Macaca mulatta: one gene and its partners. The protein of the gene in region 4 purifies or fractionates together with the protein of the main gene of each other region. This does not show direct contact. Links are inferred from orthologs where the notes say so. Each region holds a gene or a part of one and is shown on either strand. Other genes may lie near its edges.

Evidence for each region.
Region 1: the proteins of STRAP (region 4) and SNRNP70 purify together in Homo sapiens (affinity purification with mass spectrometry; 3 studies listed by BioGRID and IntAct, with this or other methods). This does not show direct contact. The link is inferred for Macaca mulatta from reciprocal best matches to the Homo sapiens genes STRAP and SNRNP70.
Region 2: the proteins of STRAP (region 4) and CSDE1 purify together in Homo sapiens (affinity purification with mass spectrometry; 3 studies listed by BioGRID and IntAct, counting the BioPlex papers as one, with this or other methods). This does not show direct contact. The link is inferred for Macaca mulatta from reciprocal best matches to the Homo sapiens genes STRAP and CSDE1.
Region 3: the proteins of STRAP (region 4) and SZRD1 purify together in Homo sapiens (co-immunoprecipitation; 3 studies listed by BioGRID and IntAct, counting the BioPlex papers as one, with this or other methods). This does not show direct contact. The link is inferred for Macaca mulatta from reciprocal best matches to the Homo sapiens genes STRAP and SZRD1.
Region 5: the proteins of STRAP (region 4) and DDX20 purify together in Homo sapiens (affinity purification with mass spectrometry; 3 studies listed by BioGRID and IntAct, counting the BioPlex papers as one, with this or other methods). This does not show direct contact. The link is inferred for Macaca mulatta from reciprocal best matches to the Homo sapiens genes STRAP and DDX20.
Region 6: the proteins of STRAP (region 4) and TGFBR1 purify together in Homo sapiens (affinity purification with western blotting; 3 studies listed by BioGRID and IntAct, with this or other methods). This does not show direct contact. The link is inferred for Macaca mulatta from reciprocal best matches to the Homo sapiens genes STRAP and TGFBR1.

Annotation. Positions count from the first base shown.
Region 1 is NC_133424.1:61,533,489-61,537,472, reverse strand, and holds the start of SNRNP70 (U1 small nuclear ribonucleoprotein 70 kDa), read right to left. Parts: upstream 2,801-3,984; 5' UTR 2,609-2,800; exon of another isoform or gene 2,400-2,608; intron 1,846-2,399; 5' UTR 1,836-1,845; coding exon 1,689-1,835; intron 1-1,688. UniProt on the Homo sapiens protein: Component of the spliceosomal U1 snRNP, which is essential for recognition of the pre-mRNA 5' splice-site and the subsequent assembly of the spliceosome. SNRNP70 binds to the loop I region of U1-snRNA.
Region 2 is NC_133406.1:125,495,969-125,499,934, forward strand, and holds the start of CSDE1 (cold shock domain-containing protein E1), read left to right. Parts: upstream 1-1,166; 5' UTR 1,167-1,225; intron 1,226-2,260; 5' UTR 2,261-2,372; intron 2,373-3,966. UniProt on the Homo sapiens protein: RNA-binding protein involved in translationally coupled mRNA turnover.
Region 3 is NC_133406.1:224,669,015-224,673,057, forward strand, and holds the start of SZRD1 (SUZ RNA-binding domain-containing), read right to left. Parts: upstream 2,801-4,043; 5' UTR 2,786-2,800; coding exon 2,735-2,785; intron 870-2,734; exon of another isoform or gene 479-869; intron 1-478.
Region 4 is NC_133416.1:18,352,832-18,356,937, reverse strand, and holds the start of STRAP (serine-threonine kinase receptor-associated protein), read right to left. Parts: upstream 2,801-4,106; 5' UTR 2,472-2,800; coding exon 2,360-2,471; intron 1,640-2,359; coding exon 1,504-1,639; intron 1-1,503. UniProt on the Homo sapiens protein: The SMN complex catalyzes the assembly of small nuclear ribonucleoproteins (snRNPs), the building blocks of the spliceosome, and thereby plays an important role in the splicing of cellular pre-mRNAs.
Region 5 is NC_133406.1:128,474,561-128,478,060, forward strand, and holds part of DDX20 (putative ATP-dependent RNA helicase DDX20), read right to left. Parts: intron 3,211-3,500; coding exon 3,105-3,210; intron 2,985-3,104; coding exon 2,883-2,984; intron 163-2,882; coding exon 1-162.
Region 6 is NC_133420.1:59,300,419-59,304,688, reverse strand, and holds the start of TGFBR1 (TGF-beta receptor type-1), read left to right. Parts: upstream 1-1,470; 5' UTR 1,471-1,579; coding exon 1,580-1,676; intron 1,677-4,270. UniProt on the Homo sapiens protein: Transmembrane serine/threonine kinase forming with the TGF-beta type II serine/threonine kinase receptor, TGFBR2, the non-promiscuous receptor for the TGF-beta cytokines TGFB1, TGFB2 and TGFB3.

The DNA of each region.
Region 1 (3,984 bases), on a different chromosome or scaffold from region 4:
AAAAAAAAAAAAAAAAAAAAATTAAAAAAAAAAATAAATAACTAGTAACTGAGACCAGGCACGGTGGCTCACGCCTGTAATCCCAGCACTTTGGGAGGCCAAGGTGGGCGGATCACGAAGTCAGGAGATCCAGACCATCCTGGCTAACACGGTGAAACCCCGTTTCTACTAAAAATACAAAAAATTAGCCGGGCGTGGTGGCAGGCACCTGTAGTCCCAGCTACTCCGGAGGCTGAGGCAGGAGAATGGCGTGAACCCAGGAGGCGGAGCTTGCAGTGAGCTGAGATAGCACCACTGCACTCTAGCCTGGGCGACAGAGCAAGACTCCCTCTCAAATAAATAAATAAATAAATAGAAACTGGCACATGACCTGCATCATCAAAGGGCACCTACCACCGCCTGTGCCCATTAAGTTAATTTAACTGGCCAGTAACACTTCTCAAATGCGGGTTCACCAAGGGTGGCAAATCCCACTGAAGATACACCTTTCTGTTATCTATGAACTTCTGCTGTGCAACTCCCTCGCCTCCAGCTGCCCTTCCCTACGCAATGCCAGAATGTTCTTGTAACTTCTGGCTATGTGCCAGTTTTTCTCAGGTGTGCTCTGATGCACCTAGGAGAAGACCTTTGTCATCCCATTTCACAAATAAAAACACAGAGGTCCAGGAGCCTAAGTCATTCATTCCTATTTACCCCGAAGGTGCAGAGCTAAGATCCCCATCTGCAGTTTTAAGTCCTCCAATACTCAATACTGGGTGCTAAGTCTTTATGAACATCATCTTATTAACAATAAAAACAGTAAACAAAGTAACAAAGGCTGACACGTGCTGACTGGTTGGTGCCAAGCCCCTGATATACACTTTGCCATTTAATTCTCCAGCATTATGAGGGTGCTACCACTATCCCCTTGCTAAAGATAAAGAAACCAATGCATGAAGAGGATACAACATTTGCCCAAAGTCAGAGCTGATAAATGGTGCGGGTTAAGTGCCAATCTTCAACCACTACTCACTGAATTTTCACAAAAATTCTACAAAAGGGGTACTATCAAACCCTACTTTTTTTTTGAGACAGTCTTCTTCTGTTGCCCAGGCTGGAGTGCAGTGGCACGATCTCAGCTCATTGCAACCTCCACCTCCTGGGTTCAAGTGATTCTCGTGCCTCAGCCTCCCAAGGAGCTGGAATTACAGGCATCATCATGCCCGGCTAATTTTTGTTATTTTTAGTAGAGACGGGGTTTCACCATGTTGGTCAGGCTGGTCTTGAACTCTTCACCTCAGGTGATCCACCTGCCTCAGCCTCCCAAAGTACTGGGATTACAGGCGTGAGCCACCGCACTGGGCCACAACCCCACTTTAAAAAAAATTTTTTTTTTTTTGAGAGACAAAGTCCTGCTCTGTCACCCAGGCCGGAGTATAGCGGCACAATCACAGAGCACTTCAGTCCCCAACTCCTGGGCTCAAGCAATCCTCCCATCTCAGCCTCCTGAGTAGCTAGAACTACTGCTGCACTCGACCACACCCGGCACCCGGCTGCAACCCCATTTAAAACAGCGAAACTGAGGATCACAAAGATTAAGCCCCTCGCTTAAATCACACAGCTAGCAAAATAGTCAGAGGCTGGACTCGCAAATCCAACCCCTTGCTCCCCAGAACCCAAACCATTCCTGGCCTGCTCAGTGAACTCACCTCAAACTCTCGAATGTACGGCGCAATGCCACAGTAAGGTTGATTGTGGTGTTTTTCATGTGGCAGTTTCTCCAGGGGTGGCAGGTATGGGATAGGGTCACGGGGGGCAAAGAGGGCCAGAAGGTTGGGCGGCAGGAACTGGGTCATCTTGCCAAGTCTGAGAGCAGAAGCAGGACAGCCTTAGGTTAGATCGGGTCTGCAGAGAAAGCCCCTATTACTCCTTGACTCTCAAAGTAAGAAAGAAAGGAGAAAAGTCTCGGAATTAAAACAGGCTTTGTAACGGCAGAGAACGGTCCTGTGTTACGGAGAAAAGGGTAAAAGTCTTGTTGGAGGTGGAGGTGAAAGGCCGGTAAAAGACACAAAAATAAAGGCTGAAAAAGGGTTCCTGAGTAGTGAAGTCTCAGAGTCCTGAGACACGAGCTGTGGGGCGGAGAGGTTGCCTGGGAATTTCTGGGGGAATCAAAGACCCGAGGAGGGAGGCCCAGGGCAGTTGTGGCTGCTCGTCCCGTACCGTGGACAGCAAATTACTAGACGCAGTTTGCAAGGGCCTGGGGGTCGGAAGTCTCCGAGCAAAGAAAGAGAAACATAAGGAGCGAAGCCCCAAAACCAAGCGCTTGTGGGTAACAGATCTGGGCCCCGCAAAGGCGAAAGGAATTATGGGTAAGGGTCCAGGACAACATAGAAAAACGAAAAAGAAAAAAGGCTACACACCGCAAGGGCCTGTGGGTAGGGAACCGCGAGGGCGATGTGGGGACCGGGCGTGGGTGCCCAGAGAACTCGGGGTCCGAGAAAGGGATGCAAAAGTGACCTGTGGCGAGGACGCGGGAAGGGGGCCTGGCCGCGGGGAAGAGGCCCGGGCCCACCGCTGGGGCTTCTGGGTAGCGGCCCCGCTCCCCGTCGGGCCACTCAGTCACACTCACTCGCCGCGCAGCGCCCTCCTAGCTCTGGTGTCTGTCCGGAGGCTCGCGGCGGCTGCGGCGGCCCCTCAGCAACAACAGCTCCTGCTTGGGCTTCCACTCTGGGGGCGTCCGCGTCCGTCTGATTCCGTCGCCCGCGCAGCGAGCGCACCAGGCCGCTGCTCAGGAACCCGCGCGGCCTCGGCTAGCGACTGGAGCAGGGGGTGGGTCCCGGCCGCAAATCCCTCCGCCGTCTGCACTGCGCACGCGCCGCGCGAGGCCAAGCTCAACCCACACGCTGGGACCCGGCGCCGCCGCGGCAACAGCGCACGCGCGAGGTCACCACCCCGCCTTCGGGCACCTTGAGTATTTCAACCGCCGGGAGCTGGCGTCTGCACTGCGCGCGCGCGCTTAGCCCCAAGCCGCCCCTCCACCTCTCGCTTTCCGCTCCAAACCGCCTATGTCCGCGAGGCTCTCCCTGATGCTCCGCCCCTTTCCAATCACACTTCCCGGATCTTGCGCGCATGCGTTCTGCGTAGGGAACTATAATGTACCTCTCCGCCGACTAGCAAAGAGTCCCTAAGTGAATGGCCTGATTGCGTTGATGTTTAATCTAGTCAATCGATAACTGTTCATCGAGCATCTCGTGTGTGCTAGGCACTGTCTGGGCTTTGGGGCTACAGCACGTGATTAAAGCAAAGTCTTCTCCTGCTAGGGCTTACACTGTACTGGGAGAGACAATAAAAGCATTTAACTGAGTAAAGATAATTTGAGGCCGGGCGCGGTGGATCACGCATGTAATCCCAGAACTTTGGGAAGCTGAGGCGGTCGGATCACCTGAGGTCAGGAGTGCGAGACCAACCTGACCAACATGGTGAAAGCCCGTCTCTACTAAAAATACAAAAATTATCCGGGCGTGGCGGTGCGCGCCTGTAATCCCAGTTACTCGGGAGGCTGTGGCAGGAGAATCGCTTGAACTCGGGAGGCTGAGTTTGCAGTGAGCCGAGGTCGTGCCATTGCACTCCAGCCTGGGCGACAGAGCGACTCCGTCTCAAAAATAAATAAATATAAAAAATAAAAGATATTTTGAGATAGTGGCCAGCATAATGAAGAACGATGGAGCAGAATAAAGGGATGGGAAATGAGAGCGAGTCTATTTTGATAATGGAAGCCTCTTCTGAAGAGGCAACATTTGAACAAAAACCAGATAGAAGCGAGATCTGGAGGGGGGGAGGAGCGGGGGGTGGTGTTTAACAGTTTAAGTGCAAAGGTCCTGAGCGAGGACCAGATGGCAGAAATCTCAGGTTGTTAGCCATGAGATCAGAGAGCTGGCACTTAAGCTATTTGGAGCCCTGTTGTTAAGTATCTTCAGTTTTGTGGATAGATTCAATAGCCTGTTT
Region 2 (3,966 bases), on a different chromosome or scaffold from region 4:
ACACCAGCAACAAAGGTGGAGAGAAATTTTTAAACAGAAATGGGACACGGCCTCCTCTTAGAATTCAAGAGGTTTGAATTGAAGGTTATCTTTCCGTCATTGCACTTATTCCAGTGTGTACGTTTGGATTTATTTTTGTGATCATTAATGATGCTAGACTAAAAGTTCCTTGAGGACAAGACTACATCCGATTTTCTTTACAACTGTACACTTCCCAGTGATTACACATACAACATGTCAAATAAATGTGTTGTAAGCAAAAAGTGGGTAGGAGAGTACTCAGGAGACTGGCTGCTCATTATTTTTCCAATACTGTCAAGTGAGAGAGCCAGTGAATCTGTGAAAATAGAAGCATTGAATCTGGGAAAAGCATTCCTCTCACCAGAGGAGCATGCTGTACTGTCTGACAGGGGATAATCCATTGAACTTCCTGTGGTCATAATTACCCATTTTCCTCCTTCCCTCTTCCCCCATTGGATGAATCATCTCTTTGCTCTTATTTCAACCTTTTAATTACTGATTCACCCTCTTTGATTACCTGACACAACAGGAATATCTTTGGTAACTTGAAAGGTCAGTTGACTGAATTTGTTTCATTTTGTTTAGTGATTATGCAGCCTTGCTCACTCTTGTGCATCTGTTGCAATGTTGTTCGTGGAAAACAAAGGTCTCATTTAGATTTCCAAATTACCTTGCTAAAAAACTGACTCTATACTAATGAAATTCGTCTAATGCAGTAGATGTAAGAAAGAATGCTTGCACTATGAGAAGAAACGAGTGTGAGGCCCTTCTGGATTTTTTGCTGCGAAAAGATAAATCATTTTTTATGACTCCTGGATATGCCCTCAGAATTGTTCGCCTTCAAGGTTTACCCCATTATTGTGGGCTAAAACGTATTCAAACGCTCAAAGACTAGAGACGCCTAAAGCTACCCGCCACCCGTAGTGTCCAGGAGGAGTCAGTAAACACCCAGATTGCTTCCCGCAGCACACCCAAGAAGGAATGTAAGGGAATGCAGCCACCATGTTGGTTGTGGTTAAGTGCAGCAAACTGCTTGGCGTCACTCAGCCCTGCTGCGCAAGCGTATTGAGAGTACGCTTCACTCCGCCCCTTCTCGTGCACGAGCTCGGAGCGCGCAACTCTCGCGAGAGAAGCGAGATTTATTCCTACGTACCGGGCCGTGCTGCTTATGGCGGCGCTGGAGAGGGGGCGCTGAGCTGTTGGGGTGAGTACGACCTCAGGGTCCAACTGGGGGTAGCAAAAACCCAGGGGAAGGGCTGAGAATAAGACCAAGGCTAAGGGGAAAGCTTTCTGAGTCAAGGTAGGCACTCGTAGAGCTCTAGGTGGGGAAGAATGCACCCCAATTCCCTGCCCTGAGCTTTTTCATACGTCTCCCGTTCAACTGCCTGGGCCTCACGTCAGGTCGCAGAGCTGAAACCAGGAGTCGAGGCCAGCCGGCTGCGCGTTTTGGTAGTGGTGGTGGTGACTAAAGTGGGGGGAGGGAGCGAAAATGGAGGCTCCGACCGCAGCCAAGATGGAGGCATAGGGTGCGGGGCTCGGGCGCGGAGGCTGCTGGGAGCTGTAGTCTGGCGGCTTCCCCATCTGCCGCTTGGCTGGGGAAATGGGAACTACATGTCCCGGCGGGCGGGGCGAGGGGGTGGTGGCGCGGTCCTTTGTGTGAGGTTGGAAGAGCCTGAGACCGAGAAGAGGGGCCTGCTTTGACTCTGGACCCTATAGTTTGCTGGCCATTACCTGCTTGGGAATCTGACTACCAGTACCAGAGCGCAGTGCGGCAGTGGCGCCTTCTTTGTGTATAGACTGAGACCCCGCTCCATCTAGATATTTAGGGGTAGTGCTTAAAGACAGCTTTCCCCAGCCACATCTGGTACAGCAGCGTGGCGGAATTGACATCGTTACTCCAGTCACCTAGAGCAGGGTCTCAGCACCCAACCTTCCCCGCATTGTCTCCCCTTCGGCTTCTTGGGAAAGGGAACCAGTCCCTAATCTTTTAGGCACGTGGCTCCCACCCCTCTATCTTGAGGAAAGGGCGTGCGCCTTTTTGAAAGCTCAGTAGTGTCCTCCCTTCCACCTCCTCTAGCTCTGATGGTGCCAGCGCCTGGCCCACATTGTGCAATGAACTGCCTGGCTTCGTCATTGTATGTAGAATTTTTTGAAGTTCCCCCGTGGGAGACAGCTTCAAATTTTTACCATGATGTTTTATCAATACGAAATCTTAGTGCCAAGGTTCTTTTGCTTTAAGGTTTTCCCTTAGAAACACCCAGATGGCGGCCGTCTTGTTTAACTCACAGGTGAAGCAGAGAACGCTCCCTGAAACAGGCTTCAATCTGCAAAGAAAATCTGAACGTTGTTAGGCAAGTTAATTTTCGTGTTTTGCACCTTAAATGAGTAAAAGAATGTGGCGCTCTTTAAACAGTTGGGAGGCAGGGCGGAGAGGGAGAATGCTCAAAGGCACTGTGGTAGTTAAATCTTTTTGAGAGGCTTAAATTTTCATCAGGCTGGTATGAGCTGGCAGTTCTCAGCCACTGCTACTAACCTACTTTTTTAAAATGTAGGTTTCAAATTGTAACCCACAAATACAAGCTACACTTTTCTAAAATGCTGAGTAATTTTCATTTTGAGTAAAGGCAAACATTCTTGATACTACATTGAGGGGCACTGTAATACATACCTTGATTTTATTTTGGTATTGATATCCAATAATGTATATCCTTGGTGTGGGTAAGGAGGGGGTTTATATACTTGAATAGGCATATACCTGAGTCATAAAACCTGGATAAATATTCGGCTTTCTTTTTGTTTCGTTTTAGCCCTGGGACTAAAATAAAAGAGAAGCTAATAGTTTGGTTTTGCAGCTGTTCTGGATGTTTACCATCGAGATGAGTATTTATAGCAGCTGAGTTGAAAACTAAAGTATTTGAGGCACAGAAGATAGGTTTTCTTTTTTTGTGAGTAAGTTCTGACTTAAGTATGACCTTTAGCGAGTGTGGGTGAAAATCTGGTGAAGTCCTAGCAAATCAAAATTGAAAGTGTGAAAGCTGATGTGCAGTCCGGCTTTATCCCCTACCCTTATTTTTCCCTCCCCCCCCCGCGAAGACACATCGTGTAGGGCCATCGATTTTTGTTTTATACAAACAAAATGCTAAAATATCAAATTATGCTGGAGTATATACATAACATTTAGTGTTCCAATGTTTTTTATTGTAGAGTTCAGTGGCACTAAGTCTATTGAAACTGTTGTGAGAGCCATACTTTCGACAAGGTAGTTAAAACATGGAAATTTTGGACCGATGTTCTCTTGGACAGATTTTTGAGGAATTGCATTTCAGGACTGTATTGCAAAATGAGATAAATATCTTGATCTTGTTAAACACAAAGAATTGATGTGCTTTCTTCTTAGCTTTGTCTTTGCAGAAAACAGAAGAGGAAGCACTTTGAGATCTATTTTGTAAGCTTTAATAGCTAGACTGTCTTAAGTGGTGAAACTACTATGGGTGAGAGTGACTTGCTGTTAAACCCTTCTGCCCAGTCAGGATTTTAAAAATTCCTTTGTTTTGATATTAGAATGTTTTCCACTTGCATGTGTGGGTACCTAGTTAAAAAGAACACAAAACTTTTAAATATTTTAATGTCCTTTTATGCTGAGGTAAAACTGTGTGACTGAAAATTATCAGTTGCCATATGTTGCACATGTAAGCTATCCGTTGATTTGCAGCTACAATCAGTACATAACCAGTTATTTGCATTTCTGTTTCTCCAATTTAGTAACAACAAGCTTCTGTGCTAGATACTGCCTACTTTTATTAGTGAAAATCTTTGCTCAAGACCCTTACATTTACTTCCTGTTGCTAATTGGCACAATAGTGCTTTTTTAGACCCCTGCTCAGTTTATACCTACTCTGTGGAACATGGTGGCTGCCAGCCACGTGTGGCTGTTGTGCACTTGAA
Region 3 (4,043 bases), on a different chromosome or scaffold from region 4:
CAGGTTGTTTCAAGGATTCAATTAAATAAGATATATTAGAGAACCTGCATTTTGGCAGAGGTGTTCATGATGCCAATAAGGCAAAGTTTGTGTTCCACTTCTGTACTTTTTTTTTTTTTGAGACGGAGTTTCACTCTTGTTGCCTAGGCTGGAGTGCAATGGCATGATCTCAGCTCACTGCAACCTCCGCCTCCCAGGTTCAAGCAATTCTCCTGCCTTAGCCTCCCAAGTAGCTGGGATTACAGGTACGTGCCATCACATCCGGTTAATTTTTGTATTTTTAGTAGAGATGAGGTTTCATTATGTTGGCCAGGCTGGTCTCAAACTCCTGACCTCGGGTGATCCACCCACCTCAGCCTTCCACGGTGCTGGGATTACAGGTGTGAGCCACAGCACCTGGCCGTGGTACATTTTTAAAGGATATTACTAAAGTAAAGGATAGTAGAAAGAACACTGGCTTTCTGCCTCCGCTGCTGCCATGGTTCCTGTGAAAAAGCCTCTGGTGAAGGGGGGCAAAAAAAAGCAGCAGGTTCTCAATCTCAAGTTCACTCTTGATCGCACTCACCCCGTAGAAGATGGAATCATGGATGCTACCAATTTTGAGCAGTTTTTGCAAGAAAAGATCAAAGTGAACAGAAAAGCTGAGAACTTTGGTGGAGGGGTGGTGACCATTGAAAGGAGTAAGAAGCAAGATCAACGTGACATCTGAGGTGCCTTTCTCCAAAAGGTATTTCAAATATCTCACTAAAAAATATTTGAAGAAGAATAATCTACGTGATTGGTTGCTCCTAGTTGCTAACAGCAACGATCGTTACAAATTACCTTACTTCCAGATCAACCAGGACAAAGAGGAGGAAGACAAGGATTAAATTTCATTTATCTGGAATATTTCATATAAGTTATTAAATAAAACTTGGGAACCAAAAGAAAAAAGAAAGAACACGGGACAAGCATTAGAAAGACCTAAGTCTCTCAATCTCACATTTCTAGGCTTATTCAGCTGTTAAATGGGGGACTGCACTAGCTAATTTCTAATTGACTTCACCATTCTGAAAAAGAAAAGTAAGCCCCAATTTCTGCTGAATCCTATTCATCTTTGTTCATTGGCCTCCAACTTCTCTAACATGAGGAACTTATGACCCTTTGAAACAGGTGGGGAAAACCAAAGAAAGGCCAAGATGCCCAAGAAACGTATAATTTGCATGACATTAAAATTGTAAGCCAAGCTTTTTTATAGGGGATGACATGAGGGGTGTCTGGATGATTCACTCAGATTAGTGGTAGGCAGTAAACGCCTGTGCCGAAAATATTGCATTTTCTGGCACAAAGTTACTGGTAAGAACACTGTCTAGCATATAGCTGACACTCAAAAATGCGGGCTGAATGAACAAGGAGCCAACTGACACCTGTTACTCCCTATAAAATCTTTAACTTTCTTTACTTAAGCCAAAACTCAAGAAAGATGGCTGTCACATTAAGAACGCTACTAAATATCCTCTGAACGAACTAATCCTTCAAATTCTCAATTATGCTAAATGGAAAAACATAAACAACCGTGAGAGAAATGCTGAACCAGCGGAAAAACTTCAAAGTCAAGTTTCAACATTCCCCATTCCCGTAGAGCTAGATACACCCACTGACTGCTGCCAGGGTCAATTTCCCGGCCTCTTCCAGGGCTCACAAGCACCCTCAAAAAGCGCTTAGGAAAAAAAACCCAGCGCCTACTCTACCCTGGTACACTCGACTCCTCACACACGTAAACCTTTAAGGTGGATGTCAGTGGAGCCAGCATTGAACAGACACGAACACGAGGAGACGAAAAAGGCATCTCCCCATCTTCACCACAAACTTTGAAAAGACCAAATTATTCACGAATCTAAGAGAATTCACAGATCCTGTTTGAGATAAACTATTTTCCTACAGTTTCTGGAGGCAAACAAAAACTCCCAAAACAAGTCGAACGGTCCATCTCCCCACTCCTTTCCCAGGAATGCGGCTGTTTTACATATCACACCCCTCCCCCGGACTCCGACAAGCGCACTCCTAGACCCTCCCAGGGCCTCGGATCGCTGAGTGGCAGAGGGGCTGCCCGCAGAGCTTTCGGTTGCTTTGGCAGTGTCCCCGTGAGACCTGCCTGCCTGCCCACAAACTCTTCTTGGAGTAAAAGTGAAAGACAAAAAAACCCAGACTCGCCCACCGTGACGGATGGTGGGGGATTTTAGCAGAGTTGAGTAGCCCAAAGAGGACTCAACTTCCCCCCACCCCCCGCCCTCGGCAGCCTCCTCCCGCTTTCCTGCGAAGCCGGACGTGCGTCCCGGGTCTGCGCAAGCCCCCCCACCCACCCACATGGTGTGTCCCTCCCCGTCAGACCACATGAACTTTAAAATGGTGCCTCGGGCGACAGGGCCCGTCGGAAAGAGTCACAGAGGCCTGGGGCCAGCGAGCGGGCGCGGGGGGTCAGGAAAGGAGGCCCCAAGTGGCGGGTGGAGCGCCCCGGGTGACGCGCGCGTTAGTGGGCGGAGGGAGGCGCACCAGGCAAAGGAAAGGAGAGAAATGGATCGCGGCCCCTTTAAGAGGCCTTCACGGCACTCAGGAACTGGGGGCCTCTCCTCCACCCCCAGCCCGGCGTGTGGGGCCCTTCCTTGGGGAGAACTATCTCCAGACCCGCTCCCCGGAGGCTCCCCTCACGCCAGGTCGCGCCCGGCCCTGCCCTGGGGCGGCGGCTCCTCCTTACCCCGCTGTCTGCCGCCTCTTCCCAGCTCTCAGCGACCTCCTCATCTTCCATCTTACTCGCCGCTTTCCCTCCTCCCCAACCCCCTCCCCGCGCCTGCGCTTTGAAGCGCGCCTCCGTCGCGGGCGCAGGCACGCAAGGCTTTACTCAAAGGACCCCGCCCGCTGCCTAGCCCGGAAGAGGCGCCAGGCAAGGTCCCAAGAGTACATTGGGGCAGCCATCTTGGAAGGGGGCAGAGAAGGCGGAAAGATGCCATCTTTCTTAAGGGCCAACGCGTTATCCGTCTTACAGAATGGGAGTTCAAGGGAAGTCATCATCTCGAGTACCGGAAGTGTGTTCTTGGGAACCATCTTTTCTAAGGGCAGGCACTTAAAACTTTTTTTTCTTTTAAAGTGAGTCGTAGTTTTCCTAAACTACAGATAATGGTATCTTCATAATTCTGAAAACATTTTTAAACACCAACAAATCATGAAAAATATCTGCTCATGCAGAAAACATTTTATTATTTCTGATAGGGTGAAAATGATTACATTATTTCCTGCTCATAAAGCAGTATTCTAATCATTTATTAACACCATATCCGCTATCGTAAGGTAAAGACGGTAAAAGATAATATTGCACCTCAGCTGGGACAACCAGTGGGATTCCCAGCTACTAAAGTTCTCCTGGGTCTTTAATGGTAGATAATAAATACGTTAGTTTTACCTCTGAAAATTATTGGCCAGGCACGGTGGCTCACGCCTGTAATACCAGCACTTTGGGAGGCCGAAGCAGGCAGATTACCTGAGGTCAGGAGTTCAAGGCCAGCCTGGCCAACATGATGTAACCCGTCTCTACTAAAAACACGGGGTGGTGGCGCATGCCTATAATCCCAGCTACTCGGGAGGCTGAGGCAGGAGAATCGCTTGAGCCAGGGAGGCAGAGGGTGCAGTGAGCCGAGATCATGCCACTGCACTCCAGCCTGACCAACAGAGTGAGGCTCTGTCTCAAAAAAAAAAAAAAGAAAAAAAAAAAAAAGCCCGGGCGCGGTGGCTCACGCTTGTAATCCCAGCACTTTGGGAGGCCCAGGCAGGCAGATCACAAGGTCAGGAGATCGAGACCACGGTGAAACCCTGTCTCTAATAAAAATACAAAAAATTTGCCGAGCGCGGTGGCGGGCGCCTGTAGTCCCAACTACTCAGGAGGCTGAGGCAGGAGAACGCCGTGAACCTGGGAGGCGGAGCTTGCAGTGAGCTGAGATCACACCACTGCACTCCAGCCTGGGGGACAGAGGGAGATTACGTCTCAAAAAAAAAAAAAAAAGAGGCCGGGC
Region 4 (4,106 bases):
CTTGTACTCTCTAGCCTCTTAAATCTAATAAATTTGTGTATGCACAATAGCTCTTGATATTGCCTTCATCAGTTTAAACAATGAAGTGTCAAATTCCTAAGTTACAAATACCAAGTAGGAACTGGAGAAAACAAGATTTTTAATACATGATATATTCCCAAAAAGGCAACGAGGGCCACTGTAGGTCAGTTTAATAACATAATTAACAGCCAAAAGTCAGAACAGGTAAAGTATATTTCTGACAACAATAAGATTAGTATAATTAGATTGTAGGTTTATGGTGTGCAATGGGAGAGGATGATGTTGATGAACTAGGATGAAGCAAACTGTAAAGGGCCAACAATTGAAATGTGTCCTTTAGGTCAGCAATTCTACGACTGCATATCAGGAAAGAAAAGGAGGGAAGAAAAATTAAAAAAACGCCAATGATCAGTATGATCAGTACTCTATCCCTAAAGACCAATCAAACCAGAATTTCTGTACCAGGCACAATAGTTCACCCCCACAACCCCAGCTCTTTGAGAGGCTGATGCATGGAGGCCAACAGTTTAAGACAGCCTGGGCAACATAGCTAGATACTGTCTATATACTAAAAAGTATTTTAAAAATTTTTCAATGTAGTAAAAAGTGTAAATATATATATGCATAGAGTAAAAAAGTAAAAGAAAAAGTTTTAAAAATCCAAATTTCTGGGACACATACCATTTGAATATTTGAAAAGTTCTCCAGATATTCTAATGTATATCAAAGGTCATGAACTACTAAAATGGCAAAGGGAAGACAGCAAGATCATTAGGTAGAGAAGTGACATGATCAAATACATTTTTAGGAAGACAACTGGCAGCAATATGGAATATGAATAGGAGGAAAAGAAACTACTGAAAGTTAAAAATGATCCTCAACTAAGGCAGTGGCAGTTACTACATGGAGGAACATTGTAGTCAGGAGACATCCTGCTGGCACAATCAAAACAGATGATGATAATCTCGATGTAAGGGAAAATCAAGAATGCTTTAGATTTCAACCTTTAAAAACTTAGGAAATGAAGAGCAGTTGAGTTTTGCTTTGTTGTTGTTTTGTCTTTTTGTTTTTGACACAATGAGTTTTAGTGATGCCTACAGCCAGTTAACAAAAACTGGGATTGAAATAAAAACCTAGGGTCATCACTGTAGGTTATCACTAAGGAGTACACACAGAGCAGCATTCGTAAAGGAGATCAACATTCATTATCTGGAGCGTTTGTTAATGCAGATTCCTGAGTCTCAATCAAAATATAAGGAGTAAGTCATTTAGGCCTCTAAAAATTTTGAGAACCACTGAAGACAAAAGCAGCACACAGGACCACGATGGACCAGGATGGAATTTTGGTGAGATCAAACATCATGCGTTCTATATGGCAGCCAGCGAGTCAGAATTTTATGAATATCTGAGACTGAAGTTTTTGATTATTTCAGGACACAATCTACAGAGAACACCAAAGTTAGCCATCTTGGCTACACTTACGCTGTGAAATCTGCAGCTGCTGTAGCTGCTTTGGTGGCATCCTTATTCAGTGTTGCACCCCAAACAGCACCTTTATGACCCAAAAATGTTCCAATCCAGTCTCCTGTATCTCCCTGGCGTAGCATAGGTTTACCATCTAGAAAATATTTTTTAAAACATGTAATTTATAAGTTCGGATTAGAGTCTAAGATTCAAATGTAAATATACAATGATGTTCAATGACGAAGTGGAAAAATTGTTTCAGCTATTTAACTATCACCACCGATTGAAGTCACTACGGAATGTCCAGTAATAATTAACTGAAGAGCTGAACAGATCATTTTCCCTGAAAAGCATCTGTAATTTGCTGGGAATACTGATCTGCGTCGAAATAACTTAGATTTTAGTCTTATTTTGGACAAACATTGTAGCCTAAATCTGTTTCCCATTTGAAAAATGAGGCTAATACCACAAAGGAATACCCAGTGAGACAAGAGCGAACATCTTTGTAAGGTATTGCACGGCCTGGCCTAATTTCTCCTTTCCCCAAATCCTTGACAGCTATTTACAGTGTTGTCCCGAGAGTCTAGGCAAGTGCTGTCCAGCTCCTTCAAAAATAGCAATAAAAATAAAATAAGGAGAGAGGTCTTAGCTGGGGGTAATAGTTTCTACATAAGCGTCCGGAGGCCTCTCGGCTCCAGCTGCGGATTCCCTAACACACTCCTTTCTCCACCCGACCAGTGTTGGCCCTCATCTCAGATGTTAATATCGCCCCCTCCCCGCTCACCACACCACAGCTCAGCACTGGAGAGTGCGGGTCCCAATCCCTTTCGGCCCAGTCCCAGCCGTCGGGGACCAGGATTGAGGCCTTGCTCACCTTTGCAAGCGCTGATTAAGAAATACCCATAAGGCGTGATGCCACTGAAGGCCAAATCAACCACGGGACGCGTGTGGCCAGAGCAGGTGAGCGGCGTCTGTCTCATTGCCATGGCGGCGGCGAACCCAGCGACCGGACTGGCGAGCTGAGGGTCGTCGTTGTCTTTTCTCTCTTCGGCTGCAGCGCCTCGGGCTCCTCCAGGCCCCCGCCCTGACACTAGGGCTGGGCTGGGCAACAGGAAAAGAAGGGCAATCCGGTGGCACCGAGGTTAGGAAGGGGTGAGGGAGGGGTCAGGGAGTCTGCTACCAGCAAGCAACAGTCGACGAGGGAGGGAAAGGGAGGGAGGGAGGAAAGTAGGGGATGGGGAGAAGCAGAGAACCGGCCCAGCCACGATTCACACCGTCCACACCGGTATCGGCAGGAAGTGACGACGTAAATGACGCAGAGCACCCGCCGGAAATGACGATTGGCGGGCGGGAGGGCGGGCTCGCTGGGCATAAGTGACTTGAAGAAAGAGCGAGAAGTGCAGAAAGACGCAGGCGCCAGTTCAGTGCCCTGAGGTAACTAACGCTGGCCCATGCCGGCTAAAGGAGGCGCTGTAGGCACCGGGATGGGGTCCCTCGCCCGGAGCTCTAGCGGGTCAGAACGCCTTCCCGGTCCGCGGCCGAGTTGAAATCCCTTCCCACTCCCGTAAGCCCAGGGGCCAGCGGCAGCAGTGTACCCGCCGAGCAGCCCTACTGAGGACTGTGCTCGGCCTCTGAATATCTAGACGGACACGAGCCATTCCCAGTGACGGCTCAAACCTGCGAACACTGTCTAGTAACGTTTTTTTGCAATTTGTCTTACTTAAAAACCATATACGGGCTTGGCGTGGTGGTGCCTGTGGTCCCACCTATTTGGAAGGCTGAGGTGGGAGGATACTGGAGCCGGAGAAGTCGAGGCCAGCCACAGTAAGCGGTGGTCGCGCCACTGCACTCCAGCCTGGACGACAGAGCGAGACCCTGTCTTAAAACAAAAAAACAAAAACAAAAAAAAATTCCCCAGCCATCTCTTCTGCTGTGTAAGTTTTCCTATGTTGCTAATGTTTTAGGCATGGATACTATATAGTTTTAAATGCGATTAAATTCAAATTACTTTTTCCTTGGTGGACTTTGGAGAACTCTAGAGTTGTAGATCCCCAATATTTTTGATTAAATACTCTCATCAATAAAGTGAGCCTGCACTCATTTTTTAAGCGAATGAATGCTGAATTCTATCAAAAACTTTTACACATCTTTTGATATGTATACATATGAGTGATAATTTGCAAATTACATACATGGACAAATTAAAAGAATATTTAAATATATACTGTGATATTGTCTGCAGCAGGCAGCCCAGTGTGGCTCTGTGAAACAACCAGAGCTGTTAATTGTTCATACTGTTTACTAACCAGGAGAGGGCTTTTCTCTGGGCAAGTTCTTTATTGCTAGAATGTAAGCCCTATACAACAGAGATTTTTGTGTTTACTACTTCATCCCCAAGATCAAAACGTCTTGGCACATACCAATAAATATGTAATCAACATAAATGTCTGTGAATGTTTTCTTCATCTTTTTGCAGCAAACACCGTCTACAAGATTTGCGTCAAACAACGTGAAAACTTGAAATATGTCTCTATTCTTTTTCCTTAGTACTCTCGTCCATTCACTTACAGTAAAGCACTTACTATATACGTTTTTCATTTTATTTTGTTTGACTCCTCCTT
Region 5 (3,500 bases), on a different chromosome or scaffold from region 4:
GGTCACCATGAGCTTTCTGAATTTGAAGGGTTCTCTCTATTTTCTGAATTTGCTTTTTTAGGGGTTGGTTAGGTGCACTTGCTATGCCATATGTATGCACAGCAGCTTTAACCTCCACATCCCAATCCACACATTCTTCCATCAGACCAGAAGGAATGGGATCTACATAAAAAGGAAAACAAATGTATTAAAATTCTCAAGCTACTCTAGACCATTGTTTTCTGAATGATTTCATAAAGTTTTCTATGATCGAATACATTTACGAAACAAAATATGCAAATATACTAAGATGTTTAATAGATATAATATTTTTAAAAACTGAAGCAATCCTGTAATAAAGAAATCTGCCTAAGAAATACCTAAGACCCATCCCATACTCACAAGCACTATCTCCCTTCACCCTCACTAGAAAAAGAGCTTACTCTAGGAATAATGTACAAGTCTGCTGCAACTCTCCCATCTTTTCTCTCCTCCCTCTCCACAGCCCCTCCCCTTTATCTGAATACTTCTGACAGCAAAACAAGATATCAGAAAATGGATTGTGCTCCCCAAAGCTTATCGACTAGGAATTATTACAACTGCAATGCTGTACACCCAACTAAATCTGTCACCCAATACTCCAACAGGGAGAAATTACTGCCCTTAACAATAGAGAGAAAACCTCTATAGGGGAAAAAAACTAGATAACTATGAAAAGATCTGGTGACTATGAAAATTAGAAATGACATTTCTAATTTTTAAAGAATTTGCTGGCTTCAACCCTCTAAATTTTCTATTCCATCCAGGTGTGACAATTTGCTTCCAGCACTCAGAACTTTCAAAGTGTGATCAATTTTTGTCTTAGGCAGACAAGATATATCAAGCCCCTGCTTTACAAAGATCTTGCCTGTTGTTGCTATTTATGCTCCATGTTATCTATAAATCCAACAGGTCTGGAAACTTCAATGAAGTCTCTTGATCCTTTGCTGAACAGATTCTATGATTAAAACTCTCATTACTACTCAGCTGATATCCCTTGCGTGCCTAGTCCTGTAATACAGGCCAATTTCCCTCCTAGTTCTGCCCCAGGAAACTCATCTGAACATCTGTTGTTACACAAGTTCCCAGTTCAATATAGACCTAACAGCATGAATATCATTTTCTCATGATTTCAGGGCCCTGTTAACATTATATAAAGATCCAAATATATCATTTTCCAGTATCCAAAGGCAATTTTTATCACTAGATGCTATGATACTGAATCCTACAAGAAGTCTTAACCCTCTTCTACCAATTTTCAATTTTTTTCCCATATCAGACTACGAATAGACTTATACACAGAAAGAATTGACAGTTTTAGAACTGACATAGAGCCTAAAGACCATTTACTCTAAAGTACTTTGCAAATCAGGACTCTAAGCTTAGAGCAATTAGAGATTTGTAAAAGATCATAAAATGAGTTATTACTAACCCGATCTACTAGAATACATAGAACTCCCAGATCTGTGCTAAATCTAGCTTTGTAAAATAATTAAATATAAAATCGGTAAAATACTCAATTATATTTATTCAATAATTACATATCCCATATTCTACAAAGTCATGTATATACTGTATGTGTATTTTTCCTTTTTTTTTTTTTTCTTTTGAGACTGAGTATTGCACTTTCGCCCAGGCTGGAGTGCAATGGCGGATCTCAGCTCCCTGCAAGCTCCGCGTTCCGGGTTCATGCCATTGTCCCACCTCAGCCTTCCGAGTAGCTGGGACTACAGGCACCTGCCACCATGTCCGGCTAATTTTTGTATTTTTAGTAGAGACAGGGCTTGATCTCCTGACCTCGTGATCCACCTGCCTCGGCCTCCCAAAGTGCTGGGATTACAGGCGTGACCTATATGTGTATTTTTCTATACAGACATATATCTATATATGAATATACACTATTTATAATGCACATTTTCTGTATAACATGCACATCAAACATGCCATATTTCCACTCAAGGGTTTTTTAGAATTTTTTGTTTTTAAGAGATCATTTAATAGTTTCAAACATGCATTGTTTCCAATACGGCACTTAAAAAGAAGCAGAACGAATGACTGAACTGAAATCAAAAGAAAACATTTCATTCCAATTTTTCAAAATAATATTCAAATTAAAGATGCTGTTCCTTCCACATGGTGACAAAGGAGAATATGATAAGAATTACCTTCACAGCAATTTAAAAGAGGTAAAATATCCCCCCTTGTATCAAAGAATACAATCAAATTGCAAAGCCACTAACTAAATGAGCTAATATAGCTCTCATTTTTCTTTCTTTCTTTTTTTTCTTTTTTTTTTTTTGAGATGGAGTTTCACTCGTGTTGCCCAGGCTGGAGTGCAATAGCTTGATCTCGGCTTACTGCAACCTCCACCTTCTGGGTTCAAGCAATTCTCCTGCTCAGCCTCCCGAGTAGTTGGGATTACAGGCATCTGCCACCACGCCCAGCTAATTTTTGTATTTTTAGTAGAGAAGAGGTTTCGCCATGTTGACCAAGCTGGTCTTGAACTCCTGACCTCAGGTGATCCACCCGTCCCGGCCTCCCAAAGTGCTGGGATTACAGGCGTGAGCCATTGCGCCCAGCCAGCTCTCATTGTTCACGTGCCAGTGGTTAGCCTGCACTCCTCTCCCTACTACTTACTAGTTGTAACACCTTTACTTTCTCTATGCCTAAATATCCTCATCTACAAAACAATCGCACACACCTCACAGGAGTGTGGTGAGAAGTAAATGAGTTAACGTACATACAGGACTGGGAACAGTACCCAGCACATCATAAGCACTCTGTGTTTGCTATTATTAATATTTTTATTATGCTTATCACCACTATAATTATTCTGACAGCAAAATGAAACAGATGAAATGTACCTGGTAAAGGGAGAAGGTTGATATTACATTTCTGGGCAATTCTCATCATCATATTTTCTTCCTCTCCCCGGCAACAGTAGGTCACTGTCAGTCCCAATGTACCTATAGCAGAGAGAGTGGTAATAAATCATTTTCACAAAAATAACATTCAAAGCCCACCTGTCACATTACAGATCCCGCCCCTTAAAGAAAGCACTCAAACTTGTTTTTTTTTTTTTTTACCAAAACGGCCAGCTCTCCCAATCCGATGCATGTATGTCTCCCAATCCAATGGTACATCCAGATTTACAACCAGATTCACCTTCTCAGCATCAATCCCACGAGAAGTCTTGAATTGAAGAAGATAGCAATTATTTGTTTGCATTAACTGTATGGCATAGCTACCAATGCATATTATAGTCTTCCAGCATATTATATTCTTCCAGTATAGCCAAGAGCCAAATTAAGAACAGAATATTGAGGAGCAGAGGAAAAGGAAGTTCATTCCTAATGACTAATTTCAAGGACAAAGATCAACATATTAAAGACATTTTTAAGAAAGTATTTTCCTCAGCACCGGAAAGATAATTATCTTCTGGTATTCTTGTTAGATACACCTACATAAAATAATAGATGAAA
Region 6 (4,270 bases), on a different chromosome or scaffold from region 4:
CTGAGCAAGAGGGATGTTTGTTGCTGAGGCTGCTGGAGCTGCGGTCTAGAGCAAGTTGCAGGCCTCTGAGTCTGTTGGAGGTTGAGAAAGGTTAGCTGACTTGCTTAAGTAAGTGTCCTAGACAGGAGGGAGAAAGTGCGCGGGTCTCAGATCCTAGCTCCAAAATCCACGCCCTTTCCCTTTTCATCTCCCGGAAGGAAGCCTTCACAGGTGCGGAAAATGCTCACCCAGTGATTCTAAAGTAGTGCACAAATTGGCATTAGAGGCTGGTTCTGATTCCTGCTATCAAGGTTTATTTAATTCCAAGCTCAAATAACACAGAAAATAAAACTTCCTCCTTAAAAGGTTCTGCGGAAAAATATTCTCTGTTCTACGTAACAGCCTACTTGGCTGTGTTTGTGTCTGAAGAAAGGACTAGTCTGACAGGAAGAATTACAAATCTGGAGCTCATTTTGGCGTCGCAGAGGGAAGGTGGGTGGAGCGTCTCGCAGTAAATTAGGAATTCAGAATGAAAACGTAGAGTTTATTTGGGTTTTTAGTGACACCTCAGGATTATTATACAGGAGTGTCAGACACAGCTCAAAGTAATGATGACTGCTCCCCCTCCGCCCCACGGGGGCTGGGTGCTAAGAAGGGGGAACCTCTCCTTTGAGGGTTTGGGGTGGGGACCCTCCCTTTCCAACCTGGATCGGGAATGGGGATGAGAGGAGAGCGGTTTGGATCCCCATCCTGGGTCTGTGCTGGAGGGAGGCGGGAGGCTATTTGGAGGTGTGTTTCGGCTCAGGATCTGGGTCTGAGGCTGGGATCTGAGGACTTTCTAGGTTTGGAATTGGGTGGGGGAGCTAGGTTTGGGGTGACCGCTGGGCGCAGGAGGAAATAGGAGAGTGAGTCGCATGTGAAGGGCACTGAAGAGGGATCTTCGGGGGAAAGCTGAAGTTGATGCGTGGACTTGGAGAGGGGAAGTTGAAGTGGATGCTGGGGCCTGGCGCTGCAGCGGATCGGAGTGGCATGTGCTGGGATTGCCGGTGCGGGGCTGTGAATGGGGTCAGGGTGGGGCTGAGGCAGTACCAGATCTTCCGCGCCTAGAGGAGGTTAGAAGAAAAGAGCCTCGAGCGGCCACAGCCTTTTTCCGAAAGAGACTCACACAGACACACCCATCGCTCTACCCGGCCCTCCGGGACTAGCGGCTCAGCGGTGCTCTGGCTGGCAGATCCCGCCCCCACGCGGCCTCTGGGAGCTGGAAGCCGGGAGCCAACAGCGGATCCGGCCGGGGCCGCGGTCTGGCGGCCCGGCCCCCGGGGAGCATGGGGCGTGGCCAGAAACCGGCACCCGCGGCTGTGGATTGGCTGCCCGGCGGTCCCGCAGGCGGGGCTCCCGGCTGGGTCCCGCTCGGCCGCTCGCGGCGGCGGGGAGGCGGGGCCGGCGGGAGCCCGGCAGCCAATGGACGCGCGTCCCCCGAGCAGTTACAAAGGGCCGGAGCGAGGCCGCCGCGGCGGCGGGGGAGGTGGGGCGAGGCGAGGCTTGCTGGGGTGAGGCGGCGGCCGGGCCGGGCCGGGCCACAAGCGGTGGCGGCGGGACCATGGAGGCGGCGGCCGCTGCTCCGCGTCCCCGGCTGCTCCTCCTCGTGCTGGCGGCGACGGCGGCGGCGGCGGCGGCGCTGCTCCCGGGGGCGACGGGTGAGCGGCGGCACGGCGGGCGGGCGACTGCGGGGCGCGCGGGCCGGGCCCGGCCTCTGGCTCGCTCCTGCTCTTTCTCAAACATGGCGCGGGGCCGGGGGCGCAGGTGGCTGCGCCGGGGCCCGGCCGGGCTCTCGTGGCCTCGCGGGGCTCGGCGGCCGCCGTGCGAACCGCAAGCGGGGAGCGGAGGCGGGGCAGGGGCGTGTGTCCGGGCGCGGGCGGACGTGTCCTGCTGCCCGAGGCCGCCCCGCTCGGGACTCCCCGGGGAGGTGGAGTCGGGCGGAGTCGTCCGAGGTCCGGGGCTGCCCTCTGGGGTGTGAGTGGGCGAGGGTCAGGGGCGGAGAGTGTGAGGCCGGCGGGGACTGGCAGAGCGGTGGCTGCCCGCCGCCGCCCCCTCGGCACGGCGTGACCTTGTTCCGGGGACCCCCGCCCCAAGAGGGTCCGTGCCCAAGGCTGCCGGGCCCGGGGCGGGGTTTGAGGTTGGGGTGGAAGGCGGCTGCTGGGCGGGGTGTGAGCTCCGAGCCGCTAGGGCTTCGGCCAGTGGGAGTCGGGGGCGAAGTGTGGTGAGACCCCCCGGGTCCACAGGCCGCCGTAACTCCCGCCCGGCTCGACCCGACCCGACCCGACCCTGCTGGAAGGGGCTGCTCTTCCAGCCAGGGGGGCTTTGTGTGAGAAGAAGGAAGCGCGGAGATGCGCGGAATGTTTCTTCTTTCGTGCGTCTGGGGAGTGTTGAAGTGAGTCCAGTAACCAGAAGGCTACGGATTGTTTTCGTAGTGGAAACTTGAACGTTTGCTCGTTCTGCGGGGTTTGGAAATTTTGGGAATGACTGTGAATTGATTAAACGCTTTTTATTTCCTCGAAAGACCATCACTCGCGATATTCCTGTTCTTGAGTGACAGTTAATAGTTTGAATCAGACATCTGTGTAGCTGGTTTTCAAGGAAGAATGTTCGCTGAATTTTTCAAAATATTAAATCAGGTTGGGGTAGGTGGTTGGCATCCTCGAAGGGATGAGTGAAAAACTTTGTTAGCAGCTGAACTGAGGCACTAGAAGCTAAAATACAGAGAGCCTCAGTGTTAGCGACTAAAATGCAGTGAAAGTACATTTCTGTTTCTGAAACTGGACACAAGATGTTGAATTTTTTTTTAAAAAAATCAAGACTGACGATTATAATTAGTCGTAATAGCTACCGTCTATGTATTATGCATTACTGCGATGTAAATGCATAAAGTACACAATTGTATAAGTACGTTATTTAATCACCACAACTAAACTTTCAGGAGTAGTGGCATTTGCCCCACTTTACAGATGTGAAAAGTGGGGTGCAGACACATTAAGTACCCAATAACTAAGTGCTAAAGCTAGGATTTTCACTCAGATCTCAGTTTTCAAAACCTGTATATCTTATATATTAATATATATACATCATACTATCTGGCGTAGCCCATTTTTCTTCTTCAGTCGTCTGCTGAGCAATTGGTCTTTATTATTCACTTTAGATTCTGTCCTCATGATTTGAATATCAGATAGGCTTCATTCCGACTCTTAGCACATTCCTGAGTCCCTTCACGTGGGCCTCCTGCATTAGAGGAAACAATGGATTTTTGATATTGGCCTAGGGAGGAAGGCAAGATAACTGTGTGGACATTTGGGAGAATCAGTATAGTTAGGCATGAAACACAGGTAACATTTCCACACCACTATTAACTTGAATAGCACAGTGCATTCTTTTCCACCAGAAGTAGCATAAGAAGTGTTCATGTATTCAAGTAACAGTAGTGGACTTAGTTGAATATACAGAACATTGCTCAGTCCATGTCCTGGAGAAGTTTACAGTCTCCTTGGCGTGCACACAATACAAAGCTGTCCAGGTGCTTATTACTGTAAGCCCAGACTGCCTCAGCTTGTCTGCCTTCCTTGTTGGTTATGATGATGCCTCAGTCCACCCTTAAAAGACATTCTGAAAAAGGTCAAATGCTTTTTTTTCCCCCTCAGTAATTTGGCTTCTCTTTTAAAGACTTGCACTTTTTTATGTTCTGAGTATGTTTTATTGTTGTCTGCCCAACTTCTCTCTCCAACATAGATTTCTCTAGGGAAATGGATTCCTTGTCCCTAGTACACAGTTTAGTACCACTATGTCTATATTTATATCCCATCTGAGAATGCTGTTTGCTTCCTTTCTGCCATTTCATAACTTTTTTTGTTTGAAAACATGCCCCCAATCCAACTCTTCTTTCTATGAATGCCTCTTGAATGTCTCCTCCTTTCTTGGTATGCAGCCTTCAGCTTAATCCTGCCTGTTATCCTCCAAATCTAGTTGCTTTCCCATGTTTCTCTCATCTAGGCTTTTCTATGGGCTACTGCCAAACTAATCTTCCTCAGCCATCCCCATGAAGGTTTATAAGATTTCCCATTTGTATTCAGCACTTAGAACCACACTTGAGCAGCTTATGATTGGGGCCATCTCTGAGTATCTTACCAGGGATCTCATTTCCCATGACTGCAGACCTTCAAACAATTTCTCTTTCTCACTGACTCCTGACTGTTCAGCCTTTTCACTACACGTTTAGTTTTGCCCCTGTTATGGGAGTGTG